2 linked regions of the Macaca fascicularis genome follow. The protein of the gene in region 1 purifies or fractionates together with the protein of each later gene. This does not show direct contact. Links are inferred from orthologs where the notes say so. Each region holds a gene or a part of one and is shown on either strand. Other genes may lie near its edges.

The links.
Region 2: the proteins of CDK15 (region 1) and FKBP5 purify together in Homo sapiens (affinity purification with mass spectrometry; 3 studies listed by BioGRID and IntAct, counting the BioPlex papers as one, with this or other methods). This does not show direct contact. The link is inferred for Macaca fascicularis from reciprocal best matches to the Homo sapiens genes CDK15 and FKBP5.

The regions. Positions count from the first base shown.
Region 1 is NC_088386.1:97,624,947-97,629,441, reverse strand, and holds the start of CDK15 (cyclin-dependent kinase 15), read right to left. Parts: upstream 3,040-4,495; 5' UTR 2,958-3,039; coding exon 2,835-2,957; intron 2,132-2,834; coding exon 1,982-2,131; intron 1,772-1,981; coding exon 1,674-1,771; intron 1-1,673. UniProt on the Homo sapiens protein: Serine/threonine-protein kinase that acts like an antiapoptotic protein that counters TRAIL/TNFSF10-induced apoptosis by inducing phosphorylation of BIRC5 at 'Thr-34'.
Region 2 is NC_088378.1:136,110,672-136,114,490, forward strand, and holds part of FKBP5 (peptidyl-prolyl cis-trans isomerase FKBP5), read left to right. Parts: coding exon 1-167; intron 168-2,916; coding exon 2,917-3,156; intron 3,157-3,819. UniProt on the Homo sapiens protein: Immunophilin protein with PPIase and co-chaperone activities. Component of unligated steroid receptors heterocomplexes through interaction with heat-shock protein 90 (HSP90).

The sequences.
Region 1 (4,495 bases):
GTGAGCCGAGACGGCGCCACTGCACTCCAGCCTGGGCAACAAAGCGAGACTCCATCTCAAAAAAAAAAAAGGCAGCACAAATATAAGAAAAGATAGATTAAGGAAACATGATTTTTTAAAAAGATTAGAACAGAAACAATTTCAAGTAGTCATGAGATCTAATATGTAATCACGGCAGCATTTCAAACCATCAGAGAAAAGAAAATCTAGTAAATGGAGCTGGGATGATTGTGAATATACAATATAAATTCCCAATATATAAAAGAGTTAAATGAAAAAGAAAACATACAGTAACTAGAAGAAAAGATGAGTGAATTCTGTGTAAACTTTGGGCTAGAAAGGTCTGTTTGTGTGGGACAAAGTCAGAACTCAGAAGGGAAGATCAGAAGTGTTCATGGTACCCATGTATCCAAGTATGTTCCAGGGTGCCCCAGATCTGAGCCATCTTGAAACAGTTACCATGGCCAAACTGATATGAGGAACCTTAGAATAAAATCAAATGTGGTCTTTTATTGCAGATATTCTCAGCATTAAAAAAAGTTAATATACACCATGACTAAAACAGATTAAGAAAGTATAAAGGGCCAGGGCAGGAGAATCGCTTGAACCCAGGAGGTGGAGGTTGCAGTGATCTGAGATCGTGCCACTGCACTCCCTGAGTGACAGAGTGAGATTCCATTTCAAAATAAATAAATAGATAAATAATAAAATAAAATAAAATTGTATGTCCCCTACAATCTTGTTTTAACAAGTAAAAATAATAATAACAGCATAAATACTAAGATAAATAATGAATATTTAGTCTCGTAGTAGTTATATAAAATTTTTCTTTTTTCTTTTTTTTGTTTTTGGCCAGTTAAATGAAGCAGTGGGAGTGGAGAAGGAACAAAGAAATCTGTAGCTGGTTGTGATCAAGTAGTAAATACCACTGCACTTGGATCAGCTATATTTTTAAAATTAATATTTAACCACTATTGAGCCATTATTTTTATCTATTGGAGTAACATAAAGAAAAAACGACCTTCCAACTTTCCCACCTTGACTAAAAGACAAGGGAATTCATGGATCTTTTATATATATTTAACAAAGTTTGTTGTTTACCAAAATTAGTACTTAGCTTTTGGATAAGCAGTATTTTTATTCTCCAGACATTTTGTATATTTTGCAAGTATAAAAAATCTAGGATTCATCATCTTTTGCATGTACCATAATTTGCAGAAACCAACTCCAATTTCTTCTATAAAGGCCAGGTGGAGGAATGAAGCAGCAAACTCCAGGTTGCCATTACAAACCTCTGTCATTGTGATTTAGGGAGGGATATAAAAAACCTGTTAGAGACGCTTTACCAACTGTGCCTCCCACCGGCCTGAAGAGTGGTAATTGTTCTTTGGGTCAGTAGTAGAGAATGTCTATTTTCTTTGAATTCTCTGAATTGAATGCAAGAAGGGAAAGGCTGATAAACATTTAAGTGGGCTGATTTTTATTAGGGCAGGGCAGGTTTGTTTTTCTTTCAAGGCTGTTTAAGTCATCATGTCTCTCTCCCTGTCGGCCATGGTGTCTTGCCCAGGTCCTGAGTGCTATGAACCTCTATGATGTCTCACCTGGCTTTATAATGTGAATTAAGGGGGCAGGACCCTTATCTCTAAAGTGTATCCCAGCTATGTGTCACTCACCTGCTAATCCCCTTGTAAACTGTAGCATAAGAGCCTTCACCCAGCTTCTCCAAGTTCAAGTAAGATGAGGCTGCTCCAAAAGGGAGGCTCTTCCTCTGCTTTAGGGGAATGGGGAAAAGGAGTGAGTGAAAGGGAAGAGAGAAAGAGCACTTTTTTTTAGTGTTGACTTTTTTCTCCAGGGAAATTAGACAGCATTTCCAGAGCAGACTTGGGAAGGCTCGCTCAGTAATTGCCCTGGACATAAGGGCCGGCCTCCCTAGACAAGCACACATTAAATTCTTCTTGATCAACATCAGCTGCTCACTCACCCACTGAAAACTCTGCCTCAGATCCTCTTCCTGAAAAGAATCACTGTTACTCCGTGGCCTTTTACTCTTGAACTTCTGGGCACGGACATCCTGACGTCCCCTGGGGTGAAATGAAGTCATGGAACATGATGCTTCTTTTAGGTCTGTTAGCTAGAGAAAAAAGAAAGAGCAGAAATATAATTTATGCAAAGTAAAGATTCAGTGCCTGGTAAAACAATTTTTTCTTTATTTGCCTCATTTTCACTCTTCACATGTTTTCTAAGCTTCCTGTACCCCCAAAAGGCACTTTTCTTGAAAAATCCCCGAAAAAGACCACAATGGTATCAACTCCTGAAATACTACATTCTTTCTTCACCTAAAAATATGTCTTTAACATTTAGGTTAACCTAAATCTCTTTGATGGATGTTTTCCAACTTTTTTCTGTTTAACTCTGGCTTTTTTTTTTTTCCTGTCCACTTAATTTATTGCTGTGGGGGAATAATCTACTACTGCATTGCTAATAATCATGAACTAATTACTAAAGTTTCGAATCCATAGCATATCAACTAATACTGCAGCTTGCCTTTTAAATCTCAGCTCTGTAATTTAGGACCTTAGAGATTTCGAGAGAACTACTTCAAGCCAAGTGAGTTTCGTGCAACCCAAAGCCAAGGATTATTTTTCCCTTTTGGTTTACAAGAAATTCTCCAAATTTGATAACTACAGCCATAAATTTTCTGTGACTTTAATAGAATTTTCATTTTATTGGTTTAGACCTACCGCAGAAGAATCAGACCCTGCTACAAAAAGGGAGTGTCTGAACTCCTTGGTTTATCAATAGAGAAAGATGCTCTCCTCCTGGGATACAAATACCTTGAACGCAGCCTCCATGGTCTCAGGCTGACTCCTCCGACAGCTGTGTGCCTCGCCTCCCTCTGAACAACGATAGCAGCTGCATCCAGGCTGTACAGTCTTTGCACACAGCTCTTGACCCATAATCTTCTAGGTTCAAGGAGAAAACCCGCACTTGAACCTTTCCCCCACTGCCTCTCCTATCCTTGTTCTCTCCCTTTTTGCCAGAGGTCAGCAGTGTGGAGCTTTCATATGACTCACATGATGACTCTGCCTGGAGCAGCCTCACAACTTCAGCAGTTTTTCCTTATCAGTGCAAGAAACTCCACATCAGACAGGGATTGCTTGCATTCAGATGTGCACAACTGAAAACGAGGCAGCTGCTATTGAATAGAATAAAATTTGGCACAGTTAAGGTTCTTGTTCTGGCCACAAGTTAGTGCTATTGGTATACATAGTTTTTAGGGATTGACATTGCTCATCAATGTAATGATATTTATATGATATCATTGATAGTGATATTGATATTAGGTTTTCCTGGTGCTAAAGTGGACATGTTGAAGACTATTTTTCTCCCTGCCTTTTATCTGAAAGCATTTTGGTTTTCAGACTTTAAAACAAATTTTCTACGTAGCTAACTTTTAGTAGTCATAGAAACCACAGAATCATAAGACAGGAAAAAAGTTGAAGATATCTACTCTATCTCTTTGCCTTCAAACAACAGTGTATCCAATAGTCTTAGAAGGGTTGCCATTCATTCATTTATTCAAAAACTATGTGGTGAGTGCCTGTGTTGTTCTTAACTATACAAATGATGATATTAGCCAATGGTGATGGAGAGAGAGGAGTTTGAATGAAATACTTTCTTCTTTTCTTGCTTCCTTACACATATATGTAATTAATGTTTACTATATGTAAAGTACTATAATAATAGCACGACATGTCAAGGAACCTGGCTCAAATTGGTTTGCAGTCTGTAGTCTTCAAATGCAACATTTTTCTCTGTTAGATTCCTAAGATTATTGCCACTATAATGTACTAATCATAGAGTGAGACAGAATGGAGGATATATAAACATTCAATCATTATTAAGGGAAAAAATAAGAGTCATGTCTATCATCACAACAATATTTACGAATATTTGATATTTGAACCTCATGATGGTTTTTTAAAATGTTCAGGTAATTTAATTATGAGCATGTATTTTTTCATTTCAAAATTGCCACAAGAGACTTAAGTCAATTCTAAGATTCAATCTAGAGATATTTTGTGGAAAAAAAAAAAAAAAGAAAAGGAACAATACTTGGCTCAAAGACCATTAAACTTGTTTTATCTTTTTTTTTTTTTTGAGATGGAGTCTCTCTCTGTCGCCCAGGCTGGAGTGCAGTGGCGCGATCTCAGCTCACTGCAACGTCCACCTCCGGGGTTCACGCCATTCTCCTGCCTCAGCCTCCTGAGTAGCTGGGACTACAGGCGCCCGGCACTGCGCCTGGCTAATTTTTTGTATTTTTAGTAGAGATGAGGTTTCACCATGTTAGCCAGGATGGTCTTGATCTCCTGACCTCGTGATCCACCCACCTTGGCCTCCCAAAGTGCTGGGATTACAGGCCTGAGCCACCGCGCCCGGCCAAAGACATTAAACTTTTGACTGACAACTGAGAGACTGAGAAGCTAGTTTCTCA
Region 2 (3,819 bases), on another chromosome or scaffold:
CGGTGATTCAGTATGGGAAGATAGTATCCTGGTTAGAGATGGAATATGGTTTATCAGAAAAGGAATCAAAAGCTTCTGAATCATTTCTGCTTGCTGCCTTTCTGAACCTGGCCATGTGCTACCTGAAGCTTAGAGAATACACCAAAGCTGTCGAATGCTGTGACAAGGTAACGCCGTGTCTCCTGTGAGATAGACTTGAGATATTCCAGATCTTTTCTCCATCTCTGTCTTTTGCTTCCTCTCAGCCAAAGATTGAAGGATTTTTCATTTTGTTTTGTTTATTTGAATGTTTGGGATTATTTGTTTCTCAGTATGAATTGGGAAATTGAGCAAGATTTTTATTATAGCCAGACTTTTATGATACCTAGGACTGTTTGTCATAATGCATTCTGAAGAAAAATTTTGATTAAAATTAAATAATTTTATCCGTGACCTTCCTTATAACTGTAGTATATATATCAGAGTAGATGTATAACTTCTCAGGTTCAGTTTAATAAGAGCAGATTTAACTTAAGCTTTTCTGGACTTTAACAGACTGCAACTGTTCATATAAAGCATATATGTAGGTCAATTTTTATTATAATCATTTATTCACTGATATGCATAAATAATTTGAAAGGTCCACAGAGCATCAGCAGCCTTTTCATTTTTACATTTGTCTTATTAATACTCTCTTTGGTCTTTGAGTACTTACACACAGTAATAACAATGGTTTATCATCTGTATCGTTATGTGTCATTCTGATATACACCAGCTGATACTATTTTAGGTATCTGGTCTCAGGGTGAACAGTGTATATTATACTGTGGGTAAAAGTAAAAACTAATCATTGGATGTATCTTAAAGGTAGACATAAAAGGAAAAGAAAAACAAGGCAACTATTTTGTACATTCTTTGTGAGATTATTTTTTAATTTTGTGGATCAGTGTTTCCTATCGTATCCTGTCTCCCAAGACCGGTTATTAATTTTATACATATTTTTTCATTTTTTTCATACACAGTGGAGAGAGAGTGTGTGTGTGTTTTGTTTCTGTTTTAGAGACAAGGTGTTGCTATTTTGCCCAGGCTGGTGTGCAGTGGCTATTCATAGACATGAACATAATGCACTATAGCCTCAAACTCTCAGGCCCAAGCTGTCCTCCCACCTCAGCCTCCTGAGTAGCTGGGATTACAAGTGCATGCCACTACACCCTGCTAATTTTTAAGTTTATTTTTGTAGAGATGGGTGTCTTCCAAAGAGCTGGGATTAAAGTTGTGAGGTATCACACCCAGCACAGCCTTGACTACATTATTTGTCTGTCTTCTATTGACAGAAGCAGTCATATAGCATCACTGTTAACCCTATTTTTGGCAATAGGAAGCCTGTTCTCCTTTTTTTTTTTTTTTTTCTTTTGGAGATGGAGTCTTTCTCTGTTACCCAGGCTGGAGTGCAATGGCACAATCTTGGCTCACTGCAGCCTCCACCTCCCGAGTTCAAGCGATTCTCCTGCCTCAGCCTCCCAAGTAGCTGGGACCACAGATGCCCACCACCACGCCTGGCTAGTTTTTGTATTTTTAGTAGAGACAGCGTTTCACCATGTTGGCCCGGCTGGTCTCGAACTCCTGACCTCAGGTGATTTGCCGCCTCAGCTTCCCAAAGTGCTGGGATTACAGGTGTGAGCCACCACACCCCAGCAATTTTCTTTTAGCTTTGTTGATTATATCATTCTCTTTAAAGAAGGTTTTAATGTTTATGTAGTCAAATTTATCTTCTCCTTTCTAGTTAGAAAAGACTTCCCCACACCAAGATTATAAAAATAACTGAGGCCAGGCACAGTGGTTTACACCTGTGACCTGTAACCCCCAGACTTTCGGAGGCTAAGGCGAGAGGATTGCCTGAGCCCAGGAGGTAGAGGCTGCAGTGAGCTGCGATTGAGGCACTGCCCTCCAGCCGGGGCGACAGAGTGAGACTCTGCCTCAAAAAAATAATAATTAGATTTTAAATATCTTAAAATAAAAAACAATAGAAACATTTTATGGTTTTTTATATGTAAATATGATTGATCTAGAATTTATTTTTATGCTTACAATATGAGGTTAGAATTTAACTTTTTTTTTTGGAGACAGAGTCTTACTCTGTCACCCACGCTGGAGTGCAGTGGCATGATCTCGGCCCACTCCAACCTCCACCTCCCTGGTTCAAGCAATTCTGCCTCGGCCTCCCAACTAGCTGGGATTACAGTCGCGTGCCACCATGCCTGGCTAATTTTTGTATTTTCAACAGAGACAAGATTTCGCCATGTTGGCCAGGCTGGTCTTGAACTCCTTACCTCAGGTGATCCACCTGCTTCAGCCTCCCAAAGTACTGGGATTACAGGCATGAGCTACTGCACTCAGCCTTAACTCTTATTTTCTACGTGGATAGCTGCTGTCCTGGCCCCATTTATTTTAAAGTTAACTCTCCACTGATTCATATTACCACCCTTGTCATTTTCAAACGTTTTTATATGCAGACACGTGACTGTTTCTGAATGATTCGTTCTGTTTCACTGAGCTGTTTGTCCACATACTAGTAACCACACAGTCTTAATTTCAGTAGTTTTAAAGTTTGTCTTTTTCTCTGGTAGGACAATGCCTCTTAGTTTTTTCTTTTTTCCCATTTTTTTTCAGCCATTCTTGGGCACTTACTTGTTCCAATGAACTTTAAAATGAACTTCTCAAGAGCCCCCTCTCAAATCTCCTTGGTATCTTTCTAGAAATTGCATTAAATGCAGAAAATAATTTGGGTAGTAAATTTTGATCAGTAGTATATAATTATCTTGAGCCCCATTTTTTAAATACACTTTTTCCATCTCCTTTGGCAAGAGAACTTTGGTAAGCTGTTTGCTGAATTTATTAAAATTCATCCTTTCTAAAATATAAACCATCTATTCCTAGGCCCTTGGACTGGACAGTGCCAATGAGAAAGGCTTGTATAGGAGGGGTGAAGCCCAGCTGCTCATGAACGAGTTTGAGTCAGCCAAGGGTGACTTTGAGAAAGTGCTGGAAGTAAACCCCCAGAATAAGGCTGCAAGACTGCAGATCTCCATGTGCCAGAAAAAGGCCAAGGAGCACAACGAGCGGGACCGCAGGATATACGCCAACATGTTCAAGAAGTTTGCAGAGCAGGATGCCAAGGTGTGTGCAGAGCCCGCTGAATGCAGGTGGATCAAGAGCCTGCCGTGCCCCTTTGATTTTAGGGGACAGGAACAGTTAACCCAAGAGGCTCAAGAGTAGGAAAAACAATTTCCAATCTGATCTGAGGCTGAGTATGCTTTGGATCCAAAGGTTGAGTAGGGCAGTTCTAGTCACCAAAGGCACATGTCGTGAGAGATGAGAAAAGTAAATTCCCTTCAGATGTATTAGATTGGTTCAAAAGTAATTATGGATTTTACCATTACTTTCAATGGTAAAAACAGCAATTTTGCACCAACTCCCCACCCCCAAGTTAGAATCTCACTCTGTCACCCAGACTAGAGTGCAGTGGTGCTGTCATGGCTCACTGCAGCCTTGACTTCCCTGGTTCAAGTGATCCTCTCACCTCAGCCTCCTGAGTAGCTGGGACAAGCACACCACCACACCCGGCTAATTTTTTTAAATTTTTTGTAAAGATAGGGTTTCACTTTGTTGCCCAGGCTGGTCTCGAACCCCTGGCTTCAAGGAATCCTCCTACTTTGGTCTCCCAAAGTGCTGGGATTATAGACATGAGCCACCATGCCTGGCCCTTTTGTCATTTTTGAAAAATTGTAAACCCATCAGGATTTTTTTTTTCAAGTAATACTTCCTCATTAAGACTTCTAA